4 linked regions of the Arabidopsis thaliana genome follow. The protein of the gene in region 2 purifies or fractionates together with the protein of the main gene of each other region. This does not show direct contact. Each region holds a gene or a part of one and is shown on either strand. Other genes may lie near its edges. The genes, in order: AT2G34840, AT3G09800, AT4G34450 and AT2G16200.

Region 1 (4,378 bases), on a different chromosome or scaffold from region 2:
AAGAAAGTTTAAAGATGGCATGGAGATGGCAAAAGCTTCATCGCAGTGGCTATGGATCTTCTTCCTTGGTTTCTGCATACTGACCATTATGCATTAGGTATGTGAGCATTGCCCTTCAAGGACTCCTTCATTAGAGTCTTGATTCTAGATGGTAGTGAAGGTAGTAGAAGAAGATGGATTTATTCTTAGTAGAATAGTATTCATCTTATCCATATATAGAGATTATATATGAGATTATTGATTAATAAAATATCATCCATGTCAATCACCTATTTTATTGTGATTGAGGTTTATCAAAATCCTAACGGAAGACATATGTCGCTTCTTTGTGTAAAAAGTGAAAATCATTGGTTGGAAAAAAATTGAAGTATTTCCAAGTGAGAAGCTTTTGTTTGTTTTGGTATTTCTAGTTTGGATTCAAACGATCGGTTGAATTCACTCAAGGTTTCGGGTTGAGTTACACGATCTGGATTGGTTAGGTTCGAAATTAAGTAAATGACAAACGGAATTGAGAGTGCGAGAGGTGGAATTTGATATTTTCAAGTAATGAAATGTAACTTAACATATCTAATGGCAAAAGCTGGTTCATATACTGGTTTCGAAAAGACAAGACAGTATGGTTGTTCTGGTAGATTTACCAACCCGGTGAAAATATGCGGTAAAGCAAACAAATCCTGCACGTCTTTTAGCTTGAACCATGGAAGAGTCTTTAGGCGACCAATTGAACTGCTCTCTCGAAGTTATCTTCAGCTGATGATACACGCTTCACAAGTATGTGTTCCGGGTGTGAAAGTTTTAGCTGGCTGCAAGAAGGATAGGTGATACAAATGAAGTTAACAAACGAGACCGACCAATGTTTTTATTAGGATTAAGGACACAGTTACTCTCGATTAACTTTTCAGTGAGTTCTACTGATTGATTGGGCAAATGATGCCTAATATAAGAGTAGATAATGAAAATTTACCTTAGGTGGCGTGAAGAAGACTTCCCGACATGAAGACTGCACACAACAAGATTTGCAAGAGTTTCTGGATCTTTAGCATCCTGCAATCACCACAAATTAGTATAAACACACTTCCCCATATACAGAAAAGCCAAGAGACAAGTGCAGTGTGAGAAATTTAGAGAGGTCCCTAGTTTCATATTGTTCCCGAGAATGCTAATGTACAGAGCAAATTTAAGGTACACAAGCCTAATTTGTAGTTACCTTGTTGAGTGCTTCAAGAAGTAGTGTTTCAGCTTCATCGAAGTTACCCATTTGCATACAGCAAACAGCTTTGCCATTCAAGATCAAGCATGTCATTGGGTACTTCTCAGAAAAATCCTCGAAAATGAGATAAGCTTCCTGTATCTTCGAACCGCCCTGAAATCAAATAACGCCTTAGCATAAGAAGCAAATACACAACTCTTTGAAAGAATAAGCCAGAACACATTGAATATTTCGCATTATACCACTGCCAGGTTCAACCAAGCGCTAGCAAGTTGAGTGAGAGTGTGGTCTTCATCAATCTGTTGCATCACTCTAAGCTGCTTCTCAGCATACTCTGCTCTATGCATCTTAATGAATATCTGAACATTCAAGGCATACCTAGAAAAACAATAGCAATGAGCCATCTAAGAACATGTTTTAAAACACAGTATAAATACTCAATCCACCAAATAAAAATCGAAAAAATCTTACAAATCCATAGTTCCTCCAGCATGAGTATGCTTCAAAGTTTCATTATAATCTTCTTCATGCATGAAAATAATACCAGCAATCAATCGTAATGTATCATTGTTTCCTATTGTTGAATCTGCTAACCATTCCTTCAAGCTTGAAATTGTTGATTCCTGAACCAATAACAATCGTTCCATATAAGCATTTGAATCTCTTTACAACATGTTTCGTGAACACGAATCAAAGCCGTAATTACCTTATTTTGAGGAGTCGATAGATACATAGCGAGGAGTTTGACTGCTTGTAGTGGAGTAGCGGCTGATTCATCGATCTCACTGATAACAAGCTTATACACACCAAAATTTGGAAGAACAGATCAAAACAAAACGTAATCGAATCTAAAGAAGAAGACATTATCGATATGATTAGAGAAGTAACCTGATAGCTACCGAGGGCGATGTAAGATCGGAAGACGAGACAGTCACGTTCCACGGCGTTTTCCGGCGAGAGGTTGGCGATCTCGCTGTTGTTGATCGCCGTTTGATAAGCTCCCAAATAGAAATTGTTTCTGAGGTTGAAGAGGTGATCTGGTCCTGCTCCCATGGCTGACATTGCTTCTTCTTCTTCTTCTTCTTCTTCTTCTTCTTCTTCTTCTTCTTCTTCTTCTTCTTCTTCTTCTTCTTCTTCTTCTTCTAGATTTCACAGCTTCGCGTCTAATTCCAAAATCCAAACGAAAGTAAACGGGTTAATAACATAATAACCCCTTAAGTTATAAACTGAATGCATAATAATCCCAGTTCTTTTTGAACTGTTCAAGTAACATCACTAATTTGATTTGGGCCTTGTGCGGCAAAATAACGAATCAGGTTCTTTGTTTGACTCCTGGGCTTTATATCTAGTTGTGTGTTGTGAGCTTTTGGTCAGTCTATGTTTTAAAATCAGAAACGTGAACAAGTTTTTTTTATATATTAAGCATATCACACACTACTCGAAATAGTATTAGACGACAGACATGGTTGAATTAGTGTACTAGATGTCTACATTTGGTAGTGTTCAAAAAAAAAAAAGATGTCAACATTTGGTTGAACGAGCTATTCTTAATTAAAAGAAAATCAATAAATTCATATTTGTTATTATCAGAATGTGTTAGGTTAGTTTTATCGGTCTAGATGATTTTGTATTACGGTGATGTTAATCGGTTGAATAGTCATTGTATATATACTTGTACAAAATACATTTACGGAAATTTAATCAGAAAATATCTTCTTCTTCATCTGTAACAAACTTTCTTATCTCTCGATCGTAATATGGTATTAGAGCCATCAAAGCTCAAATTTCTTCATAAATCATCTCATGTCGATCTAAGAAGCAACATGTTATTTCTAGATACTGAGCATTAGCTCTTGCTACTTGTGAGTTGGTTTGGTTGCATACATTGCTCGTATCTTAAACGGATACTACTTCGATTCTTATCTTGTTTTCAGACAGTACAGATGTTATCTATATTGCAATCAATTATATCTTCCATGAGAGCACGAAATATATTGAGATTGACTGCCATACCGTGCGTGACAAGTTGGATGATGGTGAGCTTAAACTGCTTCATGTTCCCACGGATGATCAAATAGCTGATATTTTGCTAAACATTTGTTCTCACATCAGTTTGAACATCTAAAGTCCAAGATGAGCATTCTCAACATTTTCGAATCCTCATATTGAGGGGTCATATCAGAGAGTGTTGATTTAATTTATCGGTTTAATTGATTTTGTATTACGCGGGTTATATTAACCGGTTGTATTGTCATCGTATATATACTTGTACAAAATACATTTACAGAAATTTAAGGGGAAAATATCTTCTTCTTCATCTGTAACAAACTTTCTCATCTCTCAATCGTAATAATTATATATAGGATATAGTTAAATAAACATAGTTCAAATTTAAATCATGTTATAATATACATATAAGAGTATGACTGTTGTTTTTGTATGAACTTGAGGAACACTTAAAGGGCATGGTCGATTTTACGTAAAGTCAATATTCATTTCACATGTTCAAAGAAGTCCTCGTGCTACACAACCCAATTAATAACATAAATCAATACTATAGTTTATCAAAAAATATCAACCTCTAAAGTCTAAATGTTCTATCAATTTGTGTACTTGTGATTCGTGCAATTCTCTGTGTAATGGGTTTAGGCTCGCTTTTAGCTGAATTAGAATAATTAATGAGTTATGGTTATCAGACATTAATTACATGCACCTTTTAAATGTAAAATGCATCTTCTTGGAATAAGCTCCTCTAGTTTGGTTCTTACTTTATGCAAATTTTGTTTTAATGAATCTCTTTTCTCAAGTAATCTATAATAAGTTTACTATTTGTAATCCCTAATAATCCAAAGGCCTTCTCACTTCTAAAAGTTATCATCATATGCATCTTTTAAATAGCATTGATGTGTCTAATCATACGTTACCAATCTAAACACACATATTCCGTGGTTAATCAGATTTATCTTTCTTTGTCAATTTAAATTCTTATATTGTTTTAAATATATCTGACTGGATAACAGATATTAAATATTACTATTTTTATAGAATCCGTTCATCAACATGCGTCACCGTAGAACGAGGGATGCATGACTTATTTTGTTTTAATTTTTGCACCGTATGGTCTAATTATTGTAGTAAACAATATATAAGTTCATGCCGTTTCATATT
Region 2 (4,613 bases):
TGTAAACAATTTTTTTTATGGGAGAGAAAGGAGGATTCTGAATGGTAAGAACCAAAAAGATCAGGCGAAAAAAGATGATGAGAAGAGATAGAAGAAACAAATACCTTGAGAGAGAGTAGTAGTACTTCACAGAAAACTTTTGCAGAACGATCGATTTAGGGTTTGAGTAAAAGCGTTTCTCAGTTTATATAGAAGAGGAAAAGTTTTGGATTTAAATCAGCTTTCGATAATTATAAAATATTCGACTTAATCTGTTAATTAAATAATTCGAAATTTAGTATTATCTTGTTTATCGCTTTGATTTTTTTATAAAATGCGAACCAAAACAATTCTTGCTTTGATTATTTTTATAAAATACGAACCAAAACAATTCTTGCTCTTCTGATATGGCGTGCACCTCAAAATAGAAGGTTCTGAGGGGTGGCACTTTAGTCTTTCTTCACCTTACAAGATCACTAGCATCTGAAATCGCTTGGAAAATGAAATATTCCTGAATTGCTTAGAGTTTAGACTTCAATTAGAGTAATAAAATTCCACTCTCCAAAAACATTCATGCATTGCACAAAGCTATATATATAATCAAACCTTTACTACCAAACTTTAAGAGTTTGTTTGCAGAATTCAATTATTAGAGACTTTCAAACCGAAAGACTCAAAAATAAAAAGTTGCTCAACATAGAAATTGAAGTCCATGCTTCTATTATTGTGTCGCCATGATGGAACTCATGTAAGCAGACTTCTTGCCAGATGCTCCCGAGCTGTTGCTAGCGCTTGTGTTAGTGTCTGCAATACCGAAATGTAAACAGAGGGTTCAAATTAGAAGTTCACGTTTGTGTTTATAGCCAAACCAGACCAAAGTTATAGCAAAACTAAATCAAGACTATTGCTTTTCCACAGGGAGATGTAACAATAATAGTCAAAAGTGTCGTTACCTGTTCAGAGAGTGAACCACTAGCTTCTGTGCTCTGCATTGCTACTTTCCCCGCAATGACGTTTGGATCCGTTTCAAGAACCACCCTTAACACATATTCCATAATAAGCCACAATCAGACAATAGCTAACTGCTAAGATATATGGGACAAGCTTAAAAAAGGTTGAGCAAATCTTTAGCATGCTTAAGACTTTTATGTAATTGTCGTGTAGGGCTAAACTATTAAACTTGCATACCCTTGATCGACCATTTCATCAAGGCATAGAAAGATGAGATCCAAGTTCTCAAGGGCTTCCATCTTTTCCACATTGCTCCTGGTAAAAAAAAAAAGGGATGCATCATACTTTAGTTGTGGAGATGGTTGATCAATAAATAAAGGCATATTCAGTTGTCAAGTCAAACAAATACCTCAGAAGAAGTGCAACAGCATCAAAAAAGCCTTGAAGAACAGAAGCTAAGATGAGCTCGTTTTCATTTTCACCTCCAGTAACAAAGAAGTGAAGGTCCTGGGCAAACTTATAGACAATAATATTGCTGTCCAACAGTGTGATCTCAGCTGCACATAAAACATCGATATGGCTATTTGAAAGAGATAAGTATATAAGCATACACGAAGTCAGGAAACATGATAGAAATTGTGTAGATGAAAAATGTTATGTAGTCTTACCTTCTGTACGAGCATTGGTCTTAGAGGTCTTTGAGAATACATACTTCTCAAAACTTAACTTGGCGGCATTAGTTGGCCAGTCATCCGAGTAATACTTGACAGCCACACGCTTTCCTTCAGAGTCTAGAAGAAGAATCTTCTTTACCAAAGGACAAGAATCCTATTCAATGTACATTGGAAAGTCAGTAATTAAGTTCCAGTCCAAAAAAAGAGTAAAACTCCTACAAAGCTGTATGATTGCGGCAACATACACACATTCTAACAGAATACGAAATACAATCATATAATGCATATGTACTTACAGGAGACATTGTTGTAAGACTTGAGATGTACCTGAAACAGTGACAAAAACAAAACCAAGTAGTATCTGAGTCAAAAACTTTCGATTTTAACAAGATATTAAAAACTTCAACCCACACTCACAGTTGTTCTAGTCACTGGTACAAAAGAGTACATATACTAAGATCATATGTGACATTATGTGTGTAGTGTAGTAAATGTAATGTTGATGATCTCCATGACAAGATAGCTATTATTTCAACCAGGGATTACAAATGGAGATTGACGTATTTAATAATAGACAACGAATCACCAAAATTCGGATTGATACATACATGCATTAATCACATAACTAAATCTTATCGGAGAATCACATAACTAAGCACAGATGAGAACGCAAACAAATGATTCAAGACTCAAATAGGCAGCAATGGATCTCGATAATCATAATCCAAAGGATCACCGGAATAAAAGATCGGAGAAGAAGTAATGGATTGGAGGATTCAAATGTGAAAAGCGCAAGATCGTCGAGACAGAAGAAATCGCCTCGGAGTGAGAGAGAGCTCCTTTCGCTGTTTCAGTGTCACACTGCTTATCGGGATCTGAATGCTTAATTTCATCTGACCGGTTTTTATAATTTATTGATATCCGGTTCATTTGACCATGGCCGTTTAAGAACATAGGCTGATGCCGTTTCTTATTTTCAGACACTAACTTTGTGCCGTTTTATTTCATGGAAATCGAAATGTTCTCTGCTTCTCTGCTGGAGCTAGAGAAGGTATAAAAGTAAACTTTTTCAGGTCCAACGCAGCAAAAAGTCTCCTCTTTCCTCTCTTTCTCTCTCTGCGTCCTTCTGAGGCTGGAAGCGATGACCATGACAGCATTTCTCGCGAGACGGCTTATCGGTAACGGATCGAGCCAGATTCTCGGGACTTCGAGTTCTAGCTCCGGTCCGTTCATTTCCGTTTCTAGGGCTTTCTTCTCCTCCTCCACTCCGATCAAAGCTACTCTCTTTCCCGGTGATGGGATCGGTCCCGAAATCGCTGAATCTGTCAAGCAGGTCCCTTTTTTCAATCTACTTTGGTGTTGTGTAATTTATGTTACCATATAAATTTTGTTATAGATTCTGGATACTCTTAGGAACCATAATGTCTGAATACTTTTTGAGACGTGTCAAGGGAGAGATTTGAATCATAAAGTTTGTTTTTTTTAGTTTATAGCTGATGGTTCTGAAAATGTTTTCCCTTTATGCTGATCCAGGTGTTTACTGCCGCTGATGTGGTTATTGATTGGGACGAACAGTTTGTTGGTACTGAAGTAGATCCTAGAACCAATAGTTTCTTGACATGGGATAATCTTCAATCTGTGCTTAAAAACAAGGTTGGTTTGAAAGGACCAATGGCTACTCCAATTGGAAAGGGTCACCGTTCCTTGAACCTTACTCTTAGGAAAGAGCTGAATTTGTATGCCAATGTTAGGCCTTGTTACAGTCTTCCTGGTTACAAAACCCGTTATGATGATGTTGATCTCATTACCATTCGTGAGAACACTGAAGGAGAGTACAGTGGGCTTGAACACCAGGTTAGTCTATTGTTCTGTCATTTTAGTGAATCTGTATCTAGTATCATTTTTAGAGCCATGTTGATGATTTGTCATTTTTATTTGCTAGGTCGTCAAGGGTGTAGTGGAAAGTCTTAAAATTATTACCCGTAAGGCGAGTATGAGAGTTGCCGAGTATGCCTTTCTTTATGCCAAGACTCACGGAAGGAAGAAAGTTTCTGCAATTCACAAAGCCAACATTATGCAGAAAACTGATGGTCTTTTCCTGCAGGTCAGCTCATTTTGGAACTCAGAATACATTAGCACTTCTCAATTAGGGGAACATAGCAATTTTTCTAGTCTCTCACTGGCTTCTTTTTCTTAACCTTTGTTCTGAGACAAGTTTTTATTTGCTTCCTGCTTTGCAGTGTTGTGATGAAGTTGCTGCGAAGTATCCTGAGATATATTACGAGAAGGTTGTTATTGACAATTGCTGTATGATGGTAAGCTATAACATGATATCCACCCTATCTTTTGTTCCAAATTATGTAAAGGTCAATCTCATTGTTAATTAAGTTAGTATTTGGGATAATCTTGTTGATTTTGAAGGTTAGATTTCCCAGCAACCCATACTTGGGTCTGCTTTTCGCTAATTTTACTTATGGAACAATGTGGGATTGATAATCTTAATTCTGACAGCTTGTGAAAAACCCAGCACTTTTTGATGTCTTGGTGATGCCAAATCTCTATGGAGATATTATCAGCGATTTGTGTGCTGGACTTGTTGGGGGACTAGGACTGACTCCTAGGTAACATTTGTTTCTTCGTCTCACAGATTATTGTCTAGTATGAAAATGAGGCAATCATCTTATGCTCTTATTATGTTTTGTTCCAGTATGAATATTGGGGAGGATGGTATTGCCCTTGCTGAAGCTGTTCACGGCTCTGCACCTGATATTGCTGGAATGGTTAGTCATCATTCTTAGATGTTATCATCGTTCTAAATTCGTTTGATGCATAGAGTTGTTGTTAACTTGTTAAATTATTAGAGTAAATAGGATTTAGACACTGCATTACAGATTTTGACAAATTTAAGTGAACTTGCCTACTTTTACCCTAAAACTAAGTATGATAGAAGCTGTTCCTGAGAGAAGATTCTCCATTACTCTCTTCTATGCCATTTCTTGGTTGAACATT
Region 3 (7,789 bases), on a different chromosome or scaffold from region 2:
AACTGTCAGCTTCATTGCAATGTCCTTTGAGCTGTCCATTCCAAACTGTGCCCTCACTAACACTTTCACGTTGCCTATGTACACACCTGACAATAGACACGTGTGTGACCTTGCATTGAGCGGAATTGTCTCCGTCCCCTGTTATTTATCCAGTGTCAGTTTCAATTTCAGGAACACAACAAATGGTCATATACTCAAAAAAGACTTTATCAACAATAATTTTAGCCCTCAAGTCTCAGTAGAGTATGAGAAAAAAGTGGAAGAGACTAACCTCACAAGTCTGCATGCCAAGAAGATCCATGACAGCCTTTACAGCTTCTCCCAAACTCTCTCTTTGGCCAAGGCCATATTCGTCTACACGCTCATCTTCTTCATCCATGCTTTCCCACGCATTCCTGAAATTGGAGACACCCACTTTCACCATGTAATCTCCAGCTACAACCTCAAGATCCTCTAGCTGGTACTCATCTTCTACTCCATCATCTTCTGCTTCACCTGTGCTTGGGTCAACCTGTTTTAACACATTCATAAAAGCACAAACAATGTAGTTAGAGAGTTTTCTTTGTTTTCTGTGATTAATTTGAGTCGTTCTGGTACTCCTCTCCAAATGAGTCGTTGTTTATAAGAGTTCTCCACAAAGTATTATGGGGTCATTTTCAGTGTAAGTAAATAAAAAGATGGAAGTGAATAGCCTATTTAACATGTACCTCCTTAACAACGAAAGTCAATGTGTTGGAGAACTTTCCAACAGCAGGGACCCCAGCTGGCTTCTCAAAAACCACAAAGGCTTGACCGGGTGAATCGTAAGGAAGTGAGTTTAGGGCCTTTGAAGTTACTTCACTGAATTCCTCAGCTTCTGAAGCATCTACAATGACATTGACCTACAACCCCATGCCAAATTAATTAAATGAGGAAAGAAAGATAAGATATGCTTGACACTAATATTCTACACCAATGTTCAGTACCCTCTCCAACAACTGCTCTGGTATTGTGTTAGTGCAGTTGTACTGAAACACCACATGACTGTCAAAGATATGCTTAACAACATTGACAGCGTATTCTGTTTCTGCTTCAGTTAGCTCCACAGGTAAAGAAGACTGAAAAAGAAAGTACAAGTTAAAGCAAACAAGATAAGCCATTAACATTAGAATAACACAGAAGACAAATCAGCCCCTAACCTTGAAAAGTTTTCCAAAGGCGGCAAACTCTGGAATGGATGAGAGAAGTCTTTCATAGCCATCAAAACCAGAAGCAGGTGCAGCTGGTGGTGCACCAAGACCAGTGGGCTTTTTACCCTGGGCTTTCTTCTCTGCAAGGGGCTGAGATTTAACTTCCTTAGGTACGGAGTTGATATCAAAAGCTTCTTCAGAGGGCTCCTGCAGGAATCCCAGATATAAGATAACTGATGTCCTAAGAATATTGAAAAGGAGAAAACCGAGAAATAGATTAACTCACATAATTCTTCAGACTAGTTTCCATGTTGACTAGAGGAACCTCCAGGGAACCAAATAGGAAATCCTTGCTCTCTTTATCAGTGTCAACAGTACCATCACCACCAAGAACACTCAAATATAGTGTTGCCCTATCACGGACCTTAAGATAAAAAGATGTCTGACTCATGAGCAAGGAAGGAATCATCAAACAACTTGCATTGCATGCATCCGAAAATGTTTACAGAGGCAAACACATGCATGCATGTTTGATGATGCAACGACTCAAAACAAACAGACATACAGAAACAGCAATGCTTTTCTAGACTAAGACTAGGAACGCACCTCATCATCACTGTCATAGATGCAACGCTTCAATAGAACAGTAATCCGGGGCTGTCGAGCATTATCATCAGTCAAAGAAGATAAACGGAAAATAAAAATAATGGTTGTTATGATGACTATACCTTCAAGGATTCAACCATAAACCCAAACTTTGCAAGTGTGGAAACAGCAGCAGCCCGGACAGTGGCGTTTTCTAGATGCACACGATTATATATATATCGTATATACTTGCTTGGATCTGAGGTGTTAGGCCCCTCAATTCCCAGAAAATGAAGGATCTGTGCGAGAATAAACATTTCAATAACACATAAGTTTTTAATAGCAACCCCAGATGGATGATGGAATAATTACCTGTGTTGAAAGATATGTGAATTCACAATCTTCAATGAATTCACATAGATGAAGCAGTCCACTTTCCTTTGCATCCGGAATATCTCTGATAATGGTCACAATAGAATCTACTATTGCTCTTTTATACTCAAATCCACCTTCTTCCCTAAGAATGTTGCTTAAGAAGGTCATCCTACAAATGAAAAGGTGATAGATCAATCATAAGCCAAATGCTAAAAAGATACCATAACATATTTAATCATTCAAAAAAATAGAAATGCTCGAGACCAAAACTACAAATAACAAACCCTAAAACTTTACTTACAAGGATCTGTATTTCAGTGGGAATTTCACACACAACGATCTTATTGCGTCCACGACCACAATTTTGAACTCATCAGCAATATCTGACATAAAATTAGTTATCTGCTTCATCAAACGTTCTACACTTGATTCGTTCCCTGTTTTCAATAGTGTGGTTATTGCGAGTGTAGCAATGCTTCTATTTTGATCAGAGATTAAACTCTCCATATCAATGTTGCAGTTGGTGACAGCCATAGGATGAGTCATTGCAACCTGTGGTTCAAACTTGTGTTTAGTATACAGTGAAATATCTCCTCATCCTCATGATAAAGGTAATGATGAATCTACCCAGAATAGTAAAACATCATTTCGGTGTCAATGTACAAAGAGAACAGTTGAAAGCATTGCAAACCTTGTTCAGAGTCCGGACAGCGGCAAATCTCAACACTGGTCTGGGGGAACTCAAAAAGAGCTGAAGAACAGTGATTGCTGGAGTCAGTTCTCGGCTTGTCACACCATCAAGCTCAGTAATTGCCCTGGCAGCCTCAAGGATCACCATTTCTGCCTTATGGCGCAGGCAACTCTCCAAAAATTCATAGAACGGACGTTCTCCAGATTGACCGTGGTTGGCCATGTCACGGATAACCTGAATATTAGAAACCAGAGCTAAATAACACATATACAATCAGCCACTTATCAAATGATCAAACAGAAGAGAGGAATAACCTGGCTGGTGTAACGTATCAAAAGACACTGAGCCAAGGGAGAGCGGACAGATCCCCTGGTCAAGCTACCAACCAATTTGCTAACAGCCAAGCGATCATTTTGGCGTATCTGAATATGATGAAAGATTATCAAGTTGATCAAAGATTGACAGTTATTAGATCAAAGATTGAGAGTGTATCATGTTGGGAGTCATTTTAAATCAACGTAACAGCAGCAATACATATCATTTGGTAACTCGTACATCTTAGACACATAAATAGGTTGTCCTAACCAACCTAATTAGTTACATATGCTAGAATCAGCAGTATCTGAGACAGACTCCAGACACAGATTAAACCTCACAAGAAACTAAAATTGCTGGAAAAGGCCGTAGTAAAGAGCTACGATGCTGCTACAGAAAACTTATTATTTATGAATCTAGTCCAATACACATAGTAACACCTCTCATTTTCCGAGATACTTCTTCTCAGTGGCTGTTTAATTAAACAAAGAGTAGAAACATAGACCAATCGACTTCGGTGATAATAATGCAACAAACTAACCTGATGGAGCAAAGCTAGGGCATGGAACTGAACAAGGGCTGATCTGGATTGAATACCTTCTTGAACTTCATTGCTCCATCTTTTAACAATTTCTGGGTTTGTCTGAAAACAGCAATATACGAATATAAGCATAACATTACAATTAAGAAGCTACCTAATAGTTTTGGTGTGTAAAAGGTACCTTGAGCAAGTGAAGCCCACTGACTAAAGCTGCACTTGAAACAACGGGATTCTTATCCACAATGGCTTGTTTCAAGTATCGCTCAATCTGAGTGAGAAGGGTTCCGTCTATTATCCGGCAGAGGACACGGATAGCATTTGCTCGATACATATCAATTTTACTATTCATATCCTTCATCAGAGAGCTTGTTACGATGATAACCTATGGGCGAAAAAACCAACAACTTATCAGAAAATATACCTACAATAAGTGCGACGATGTTCGTATTGAAATTGAGTAAAATTTACAGACCTCATCAGATGATGGAGATAACTCCTTAATGATCAAGTAGACCATTCTCCTCAAACCCGTGTCTTTTGATTGAAAAAGCTTTGTAACTGAAAAGAAAACTTCCGTTGCTTCAACCTGCATATGAAACAAACAACCATCGCGAGAGGATAAGAACACAATAATTCAATTCTCCATAAGCATGACATCGAATCAGTATAAGCAAAAAAATTAACTGACCTTGGTGAATGACTCCCCTTGGTTAAGCAAATAAAGAAGCTTCGTAATGACCTGGGAGCATCGTCTAGGATCAACCTGAGGGTCATTAAAGACTCTAGCCTCTTGAAGAACCGCTCCTTTCTCAATTCCCATGAATGGAGAATACTCCACTGATCCAACAAAAAATCAGAAATCGAAATAAGCAAAGCAATTCACACCGGGATCGAATGCGGTAAACAAAACTAAATCGGACTTGAGATTGTAGATCTACACAACCAAATCACAATCACGACTGTTGAATGATAACAGATCTAGAAGCTTAACATCTGGATCTACATTTTGCAGAAAACCAGCTGATTCGAAAATTATAAGGAGATTAAGAGAGAACACATACACTCATCGTCGTGATCATCGTCTTTCTTCACGAGGGGTTGCGCCATTTCTGATCTCGAAAACCTCCCTTTGAAATTACTCCGTCACTCAGATCTCGCGCTTTCTGTTTCCTTTATCTTCAGATGCAACAGGAGAAAGAAGAAGATCTCTAATCGTTTTCTTCTACTATATGTTTTTGAGTCAGAGAACTCAGAAACTGTGAGAGATCGATAGAGAAAGTGAACTTTTCGAAGCGGCCCAATAGCCCATACCCAAACAAAAAATATTAAAGAAATACTAAGATTATTTTTTTTTTGTCCCAAGAGAAATATTGTATTAATCAAGATAGTCAAAGCTTAAAGAAAAGTCCGCGATTACAGAAACGATTTAGGACCAAATAGGCCAACAGAGAGTCTTTCATAGAAGAAGAAACTATAGTTTGACTCTATCCCAAACCACATGTCGATATATTAATATACGTGTCAGATGAGTACTCTAAAGCGAACCGACTTCATTTTCGCCGTCTGAGCACCGATTTCGGTGAAAGAATCACCGTCGATAGTCTCATAGAACATGGATCTTTTTGTTTTTTCACCGATAAAAAGCAATCGAGGCTCATGTTAAATATACAACAGCTTAAGGCTATGATAATTAACAACAGAATCCACTTCTTTTCTTCAACATCATTCTCAAATTTCTCCAAAAATTTCTGTAAATCAAAACTTAAAAAAGAACAGATCGGATAAGAAGCATTAGAAAGCGAGATTGCATTCACTCTATCACCAACATGTCTCAGATGAGAATTATTAAAAACAAAACATGAAAATAAAAAAACACAGATTAAAAATCGATCTACATCGACGAGAGAAACCAAGAGCCAGCAACCACCGGTTATGTGAACAAGACGCTGCCGGACTAGAGCCAACCAACACCGCTACCAGAGCCGGTGATATCGGACAGAAAGCCCAAAAAGTCAGGACGGCTAACACCAGAAAATATCCGATCGTTGAAACTGATTTGCTTTCTCTCTAAAAAAAATATAAGCGAGAGAACAGAGAGGTTTTGCCCGTTCCCCTAATTATTTCGAATTATAAAATACAACACCAATTAAAAATAATAAAATTTTGGTATTCATATACGTTATAGATACCATAACTTGGTATAAATTAAGGCTTTGTACTCTGCATTTCAACAAAATCACACACTAATTTCTTTTGGTCAATTATTACAACATGTCATTTAAAAATATTTTGATTCTAAACAAAATAGCAAACTATTTAAATTATATATAAATCATATTGAACCTATAAACACCTCTTACAGGTTTGAATGTTATATTCAATTAGTTTACACAAAATTTTAATTTTTTACACTTAACAAAAAAAAATTTAAAATCTTAATAGTAAAATAAAAATAGAAACATTTTTTAATATAAGAAAAATTAAATTATATGTAAACCATATTGAACCTAACCTCTTAGGAGTTAAGATTTATCCAATTAGTTTACACAAAATTAAAAAAAAAACTTAAGATCTTAATAGTAATAGAAAAATATAGGTTTAAAACATTTTTTAATATAAGGAAAACAAGTGTTAAAACTTTAAATAATGTGTAAACCATATTGAAACTAGAACACTATTTAGGGGTTTGGATGATGTATCCAATTAGCTTACACAAATTTAAATATTTAACACTTAATAAAAAAACTTAAAACTTTAATAGTAGTATAAAAATAAAGGTTTAAAACATATTTTTGATATAAGAAAAACAAGTGTTAAAAATTTAAATAATGTGTAAACCATATTGAACCTAGAACACCTCTTAGGGGTTTGGATGATGTATCCAATTAGTTTACACAAAATTTAAAAATTCAACACTTAATAAAAAAAAACTTCAAATTTTAATAGTAGTATAAAAATTTAGGTTTAAAAACATTTATTTAATAAATATAAAAAACAAGTGTTAAAAATTTAAATGATGTGTAAACCATCTATTGAACCTAGAACACCTCTTAGGGGATTGGATGATGTATCCAATTAGTTTACACAAAATTTAAAAATTTAATATTTAATAAGAAAAACCTTAAAACTTTAATAGTAGTATAAAAATATAGGTTTAAAAACAGTTTTTAATAAAAACAAAAACAAGTGTTAAAAATTTAAATTAATTTACACAAAATTGAAAATTTTAACACTTAATAAAAAAATCTAAAAATAAATTTTTATTTAGTAAAAAATGAATCATTAAAAATAGAAAAGGAAAAAAGAAAATACCTTTGCTTGTGATATCGACGAAACACAAGATTTTCAAAAGATCTCGTCGACGCCAAGGAAACACCTAGTACCAAACACAGATCATGATCCATTGATTTGGTTCTATACTGCTCGTTGCTTTCATTGTCCATGTCTTCGTTATATCCCTCTTTCCCACTTTCGCATCCTTAGTCGTCGTTTGTGTTCTCCTTCGCCGTCGACAACTGAATCCATGGCCGGGATCTTTGATCTTGTGAAATTAGGAGAGACTTGATATGAAAGCAATCTGAATTGACCTAAGATGTAGTCACAACAGAGATCAATCACCAAAAAGAGCCGCTTTATCAACCGATCAATCTTACGGTGAAGTTGAAGCAGAGAATGGAGAATTAGGTTTTGGTTTGGAAGAAGAAGAGAGAATGGAGAATTTGGATTTCTCAAGAAAGAAGAGGTATATATAAGTAAAGGTTTGTTCAATCTTACGGTGAAGTTGAAGCAGAGAATGGAGAATTAGTAAGATCGCGTCTTCTCCACGTCAATATTTAGATTCAGAGCAAATCCTTACGTGGTTTAGGTTTCCAGGAAGAAGAAGAGAGAATGGAGACTTTTCTCAAGGAAGAAGAGAGAAGGGGTGTATTTATAAGTACACGTTTGTTCAATGAAAAAAGGAAATTTTGATTGTTTCCTTTTCTTATTTGAGTAGCAGAAACAAAAAGGAAATTTTATCACAACGGTAACAAAAGGATACGCCTAACCCTAACCGTATCACACTTTTAGAATCTCATAATTATATAAGACCAATAATAAACAATCTTGATAAAT
Region 4 (2,911 bases), on a different chromosome or scaffold from region 2:
AAGAACAAGGTTTTGCAGTTTCTTTTAGTTCTCTGTCTTAATCTTGATTATTTATGCTTAACATTTTCAACATTGTTTCTTCTGGATGAGAATGGTCCTTTGTTCTTTTTCAACATCTTGTACTGTTTGTCATTTGTGTGTGATGGGACTAATTTATTTCATGATGACACTTTGGACTCAAATACTTAATGGGATTTGTATTTGTAAAAATGTTCACTGATTTTTCACTGTAATTGAAGGAAACATTCCTTCAGTTCTATCATTTTTTGAAAGGTTGAAACTTTTGGTTCTCTGTAACAATGGGTCTCTTGAGCTGTCTTTGAAAGATGTAACAGTCCTTGTGGGCTTTGTTGCTTCTCTAAGTTTTTTTTGTCTGAATGTGAATCGACTTTAGCAACTGAATCGATTGAACAGGTTACTAGTTATTAGTATTCTTCTGCCACCGTACTATAATTAAACAAACTTGTGTGAATCAACGAAAGAAGAAACGATCCACTACGACATATCCTCAAATAAGCTCATCAAAAGAATATTTATACTAATGGTAAAAAGTAGCAAACTCAAAAAAATGTTTAGAGAAATGACAATAAGCACTTTTCAAGACCAAAAGCGAAAGGGAAAGATCCCTGCGAACCTTTGATATGTTTAGCCGTTAGCAACAAGTGCGTGAATCGCATCGCTGACAGATGGATCCTCTGCTCGAACAGCCAGTTTCATTACAATTTCCTTTGAGCTGTCCATTCCAAACTGTGCCTTCACCAACACTTTCACGTTCCCTATATACAAACCTGATGGTAAACATGTGTGTGATCTTGCGTTGCTTGCAACCGTCTCCGTACCCTGAACCCGAAACCCCCGAAACAATTATCATAAGAATTAAGAAGAACAACAATGCCAGATCATATCTCAGTTATGATTTTTTTTTATGCTAATGAAAAATGTATTAACGTATGAAGAAGCGCGCCTAACCTTACAAGACTGCATGCCAAGAAGATCAGTTACAGCTTTTACAGCTTCCCCTAAACTGTCCCACTTTTAACAGGGATGTGCAGCTTAATTCCTTTAGCTCCAATGTTTTATAAAGATCCATTTTGTCTCCCGCAAAAGTGATTCATTTCCCTCTTTCGAAAACAAGCATTATTAGCCGTCCGTGGTGAATGTGTATGGCTACTTTATATAACTAACTCTGTTTCAACTTGAAAGAAAATGCCACCACTTTAATAAAGAAACACTAAAGGAAAACAAATGATACGAATGATAGTTTTTTATAAATTTTTCTCTTTCATTTTACGTCTTACTATTGCGGCGGCATGTGTAACCTTGTTAACAAATTTTACCTGCCATATTAAATATATTTATTGTTTTGCATTAACAGTTTACAATATCACTTTTTTGTAATAAAACAAAATTTACTTAAACTACATATAAATAAAAACAGTGGAAGTTTAACCAAAATATATTATATTTTATTATGTAAACTATGGTTTTTAAAGTTAATAACTCACATGATTGTGGCACGTGTCAAATCTATCGACCAAATATAGATATGAATTAAATAATTGATTTTTTTTCCTTTACAGAAATAGCAAAATTAAAAAATAAAACAAATTTACATATACTAATTTATATAATTATATCTAAAAAAAAATATTTTTCTTAACCAAAAGATAAATTAACAAATTTGTTTTTATATGTGTTATTGATCAATTAAAATTTAACATTTATTAACAAAATTTGTATTTATCATTGTATTATAGTATTTTCATTCGTTATATTAGATCAAAAAATATTAATGAGTTTATGAGAATAAATTTTGAATTACTATGCTTTATTCGAAGAATTATAAAGCATCATATCATGTGATAGAAGGTCTTGCATCCTTTATAAATTATAACCGTCTAGTTACACCTATTTAGTGCGAACCATTTTTTCGTGAAAGGTATGCAATTTTATTAAAACACTAGATGTTGACCTGCGGTACACCGCGGGTCTATATTTTCTTTAAAAAGTTATTTTTTATTTTAATTAATATTATTTATATATGAATAACATATTCAAGAGATATATTACGGGTCTATAATTTTATTAAATAAAAATTGATTTTTTTGTCTTTAAAATGATTTATATATATATATATAGGCCATTGTTTTTTTAATGTATGATACACCTTGTGACGATTTTTATAACTAAAATTTATATTTAATTTTAAATTGTATCTGTTGTGTTAATATTATTTATTTTGTTTAGTGTTTACAATTGTATAATTATGTTTTGATTGTTAATTCTAGGGTTTCACCCATAATATATCATCCCGTAATAATATCGATCAAGACATATCCCATATAACCATGTCCCATGAAGTTAAACATCATTTTATTATTTTCTTATAAAATTCAAATACTATAAATATTTGAAACTTCAAAAACAAAATTAATATTGATCTAAACTTTATAATTGTATTTTGATTATTATATCTAAGATTTTGTCATAGTTTTATAAACTTCAAATATTTATAATAATAGAACTTCAAAAAAACTTATTTCGATCCAAACTTCATTTAATTGTTATATCTAGAACTTTATATGTGGTATATCGTCCCATATTAACATCTTTTTTAAGTATTTATAATGTTTAATTTTATAATATTCAAACTTTTTATAACGTTCAAATATTTATAATATTTAAATCTTCATAAAAGTTTTAAAATTATAAATATTTAAAACGTTGTAAAGTTTAGTATTTATAATATTTTGAAACTTTTTAAAGTTTTGAGTCCTTAAAAAAAATACCGGAGTAAACCGGTTAACATTCTAAATTTTGGATGCCTGATAAATCAAGCTTTTTGCTCATTCGTATTAAGAATCATCTTGATCCTTTTTATAGTATGACTTTGAACCATTGCCCATTTTTG

The links.
Region 1: the proteins of AT3G09800 (region 2) and AT2G34840 fractionate together in Arabidopsis thaliana (co-fractionation; one large-scale study listed by BioGRID). This does not show direct contact.
Region 3: the proteins of AT3G09800 (region 2) and AT4G34450 fractionate together in Arabidopsis thaliana (co-fractionation; one large-scale study listed by BioGRID). This does not show direct contact.
Region 4: the proteins of AT3G09800 (region 2) and AT2G16200 fractionate together in Arabidopsis thaliana (co-fractionation; one large-scale study listed by BioGRID). This does not show direct contact.

The regions. Positions count from the first base shown.
Region 1 is NC_003071.7:14,700,497-14,704,874, reverse strand, and holds AT2G34840 (Coatomer epsilon subunit), read right to left. Parts: upstream 2,388-4,378; 5' UTR 2,273-2,387; coding exon 2,099-2,272; exon of another isoform or gene 2,007-2,098; coding exon 1,917-2,006; intron 1,834-1,916; coding exon 1,682-1,833; intron 1,589-1,681; coding exon 1,453-1,588; intron 1,364-1,452; coding exon 1,208-1,363; intron 1,045-1,207; coding exon 965-1,044; intron 804-964; coding exon 710-803; 3' UTR 504-709; downstream 1-503. Other genes in the region: MEE25 (NAD(P)-binding Rossmann-fold superfamily protein), read left to right, coding at 1-83. UniProt on the Arabidopsis thaliana protein: The coatomer is a cytosolic protein complex that binds to dilysine motifs and reversibly associates with Golgi non-clathrin-coated vesicles, which further mediate biosynthetic protein transport from the ER, via the Golgi up to the trans Golgi network.
Region 2 is NC_003074.8:3,006,008-3,010,620, forward strand, and holds AT3G09800 (SNARE-like superfamily protein), read right to left. Parts: upstream 2,604-4,613; 5' UTR 2,559-2,603; coding exon 2,341-2,558; exon of another isoform or gene 1,932-2,340; coding exon 1,901-1,931; intron 1,759-1,900; coding exon 1,599-1,758; exon of another isoform or gene 1,540-1,598; coding exon of another isoform or gene 1,488-1,539; coding exon 1,340-1,487; intron 1,246-1,339; coding exon 1,168-1,245; intron 1,018-1,167; coding exon 933-1,017; intron 784-932; coding exon 724-783; 3' UTR 506-723; downstream 1-505. Other genes in the region: IDH-VI (isocitrate dehydrogenase VI), read left to right, coding at 2,746-2,937, 3,138-3,458, 3,547-3,708, 3,845-3,919, 4,116-4,225, 4,312-4,384. UniProt on the Arabidopsis thaliana protein: The coatomer is a cytosolic protein complex that binds to dilysine motifs and reversibly associates with Golgi non-clathrin-coated vesicles, which further mediate biosynthetic protein transport from the ER, via the Golgi up to the trans Golgi network.
Region 3 is NC_003075.7:16,468,950-16,476,738, reverse strand, and holds the start of AT4G34450 (coatomer gamma-2 subunit, putative / gamma-2 coat protein, putative / gamma-2 COP), read right to left. Parts: upstream 6,004-7,789; 5' UTR 4,784-6,003; coding exon 4,738-4,783; intron 4,514-4,737; coding exon 4,365-4,513; intron 4,263-4,364; coding exon 4,149-4,262; intron 4,059-4,148; coding exon 3,858-4,058; intron 3,779-3,857; coding exon 3,677-3,778; intron 3,243-3,676; coding exon 3,135-3,242; intron 3,055-3,134; coding exon 2,821-3,054; intron 2,682-2,820; coding exon 2,431-2,681; intron 2,299-2,430; coding exon 2,127-2,298; intron 2,054-2,126; coding exon 1,898-2,053; intron 1,827-1,897; coding exon 1,776-1,826; intron 1,594-1,775; coding exon 1,456-1,593; intron 1,377-1,455; coding exon 1,179-1,376; intron 1,098-1,178; coding exon 966-1,097; intron 882-965; coding exon 708-881; intron 512-707; coding exon 272-511; intron 139-271; coding exon 1-138. UniProt on the Arabidopsis thaliana protein: The coatomer is a cytosolic protein complex that binds to dilysine motifs and reversibly associates with Golgi non-clathrin-coated vesicles, which further mediate biosynthetic protein transport from the ER, via the Golgi up to the trans Golgi network.
Region 4 is NC_003071.7:7,022,839-7,025,749, reverse strand, and holds AT2G16200 (structural molecule), read right to left. Parts: upstream 1,144-2,911; 5' UTR 1,091-1,143; coding exon 1,034-1,090; intron 1,027-1,033; exon of another isoform or gene 985-1,026; coding exon of another isoform or gene 970-984; intron 841-969; coding exon 646-840; 3' UTR 519-645; downstream 1-518.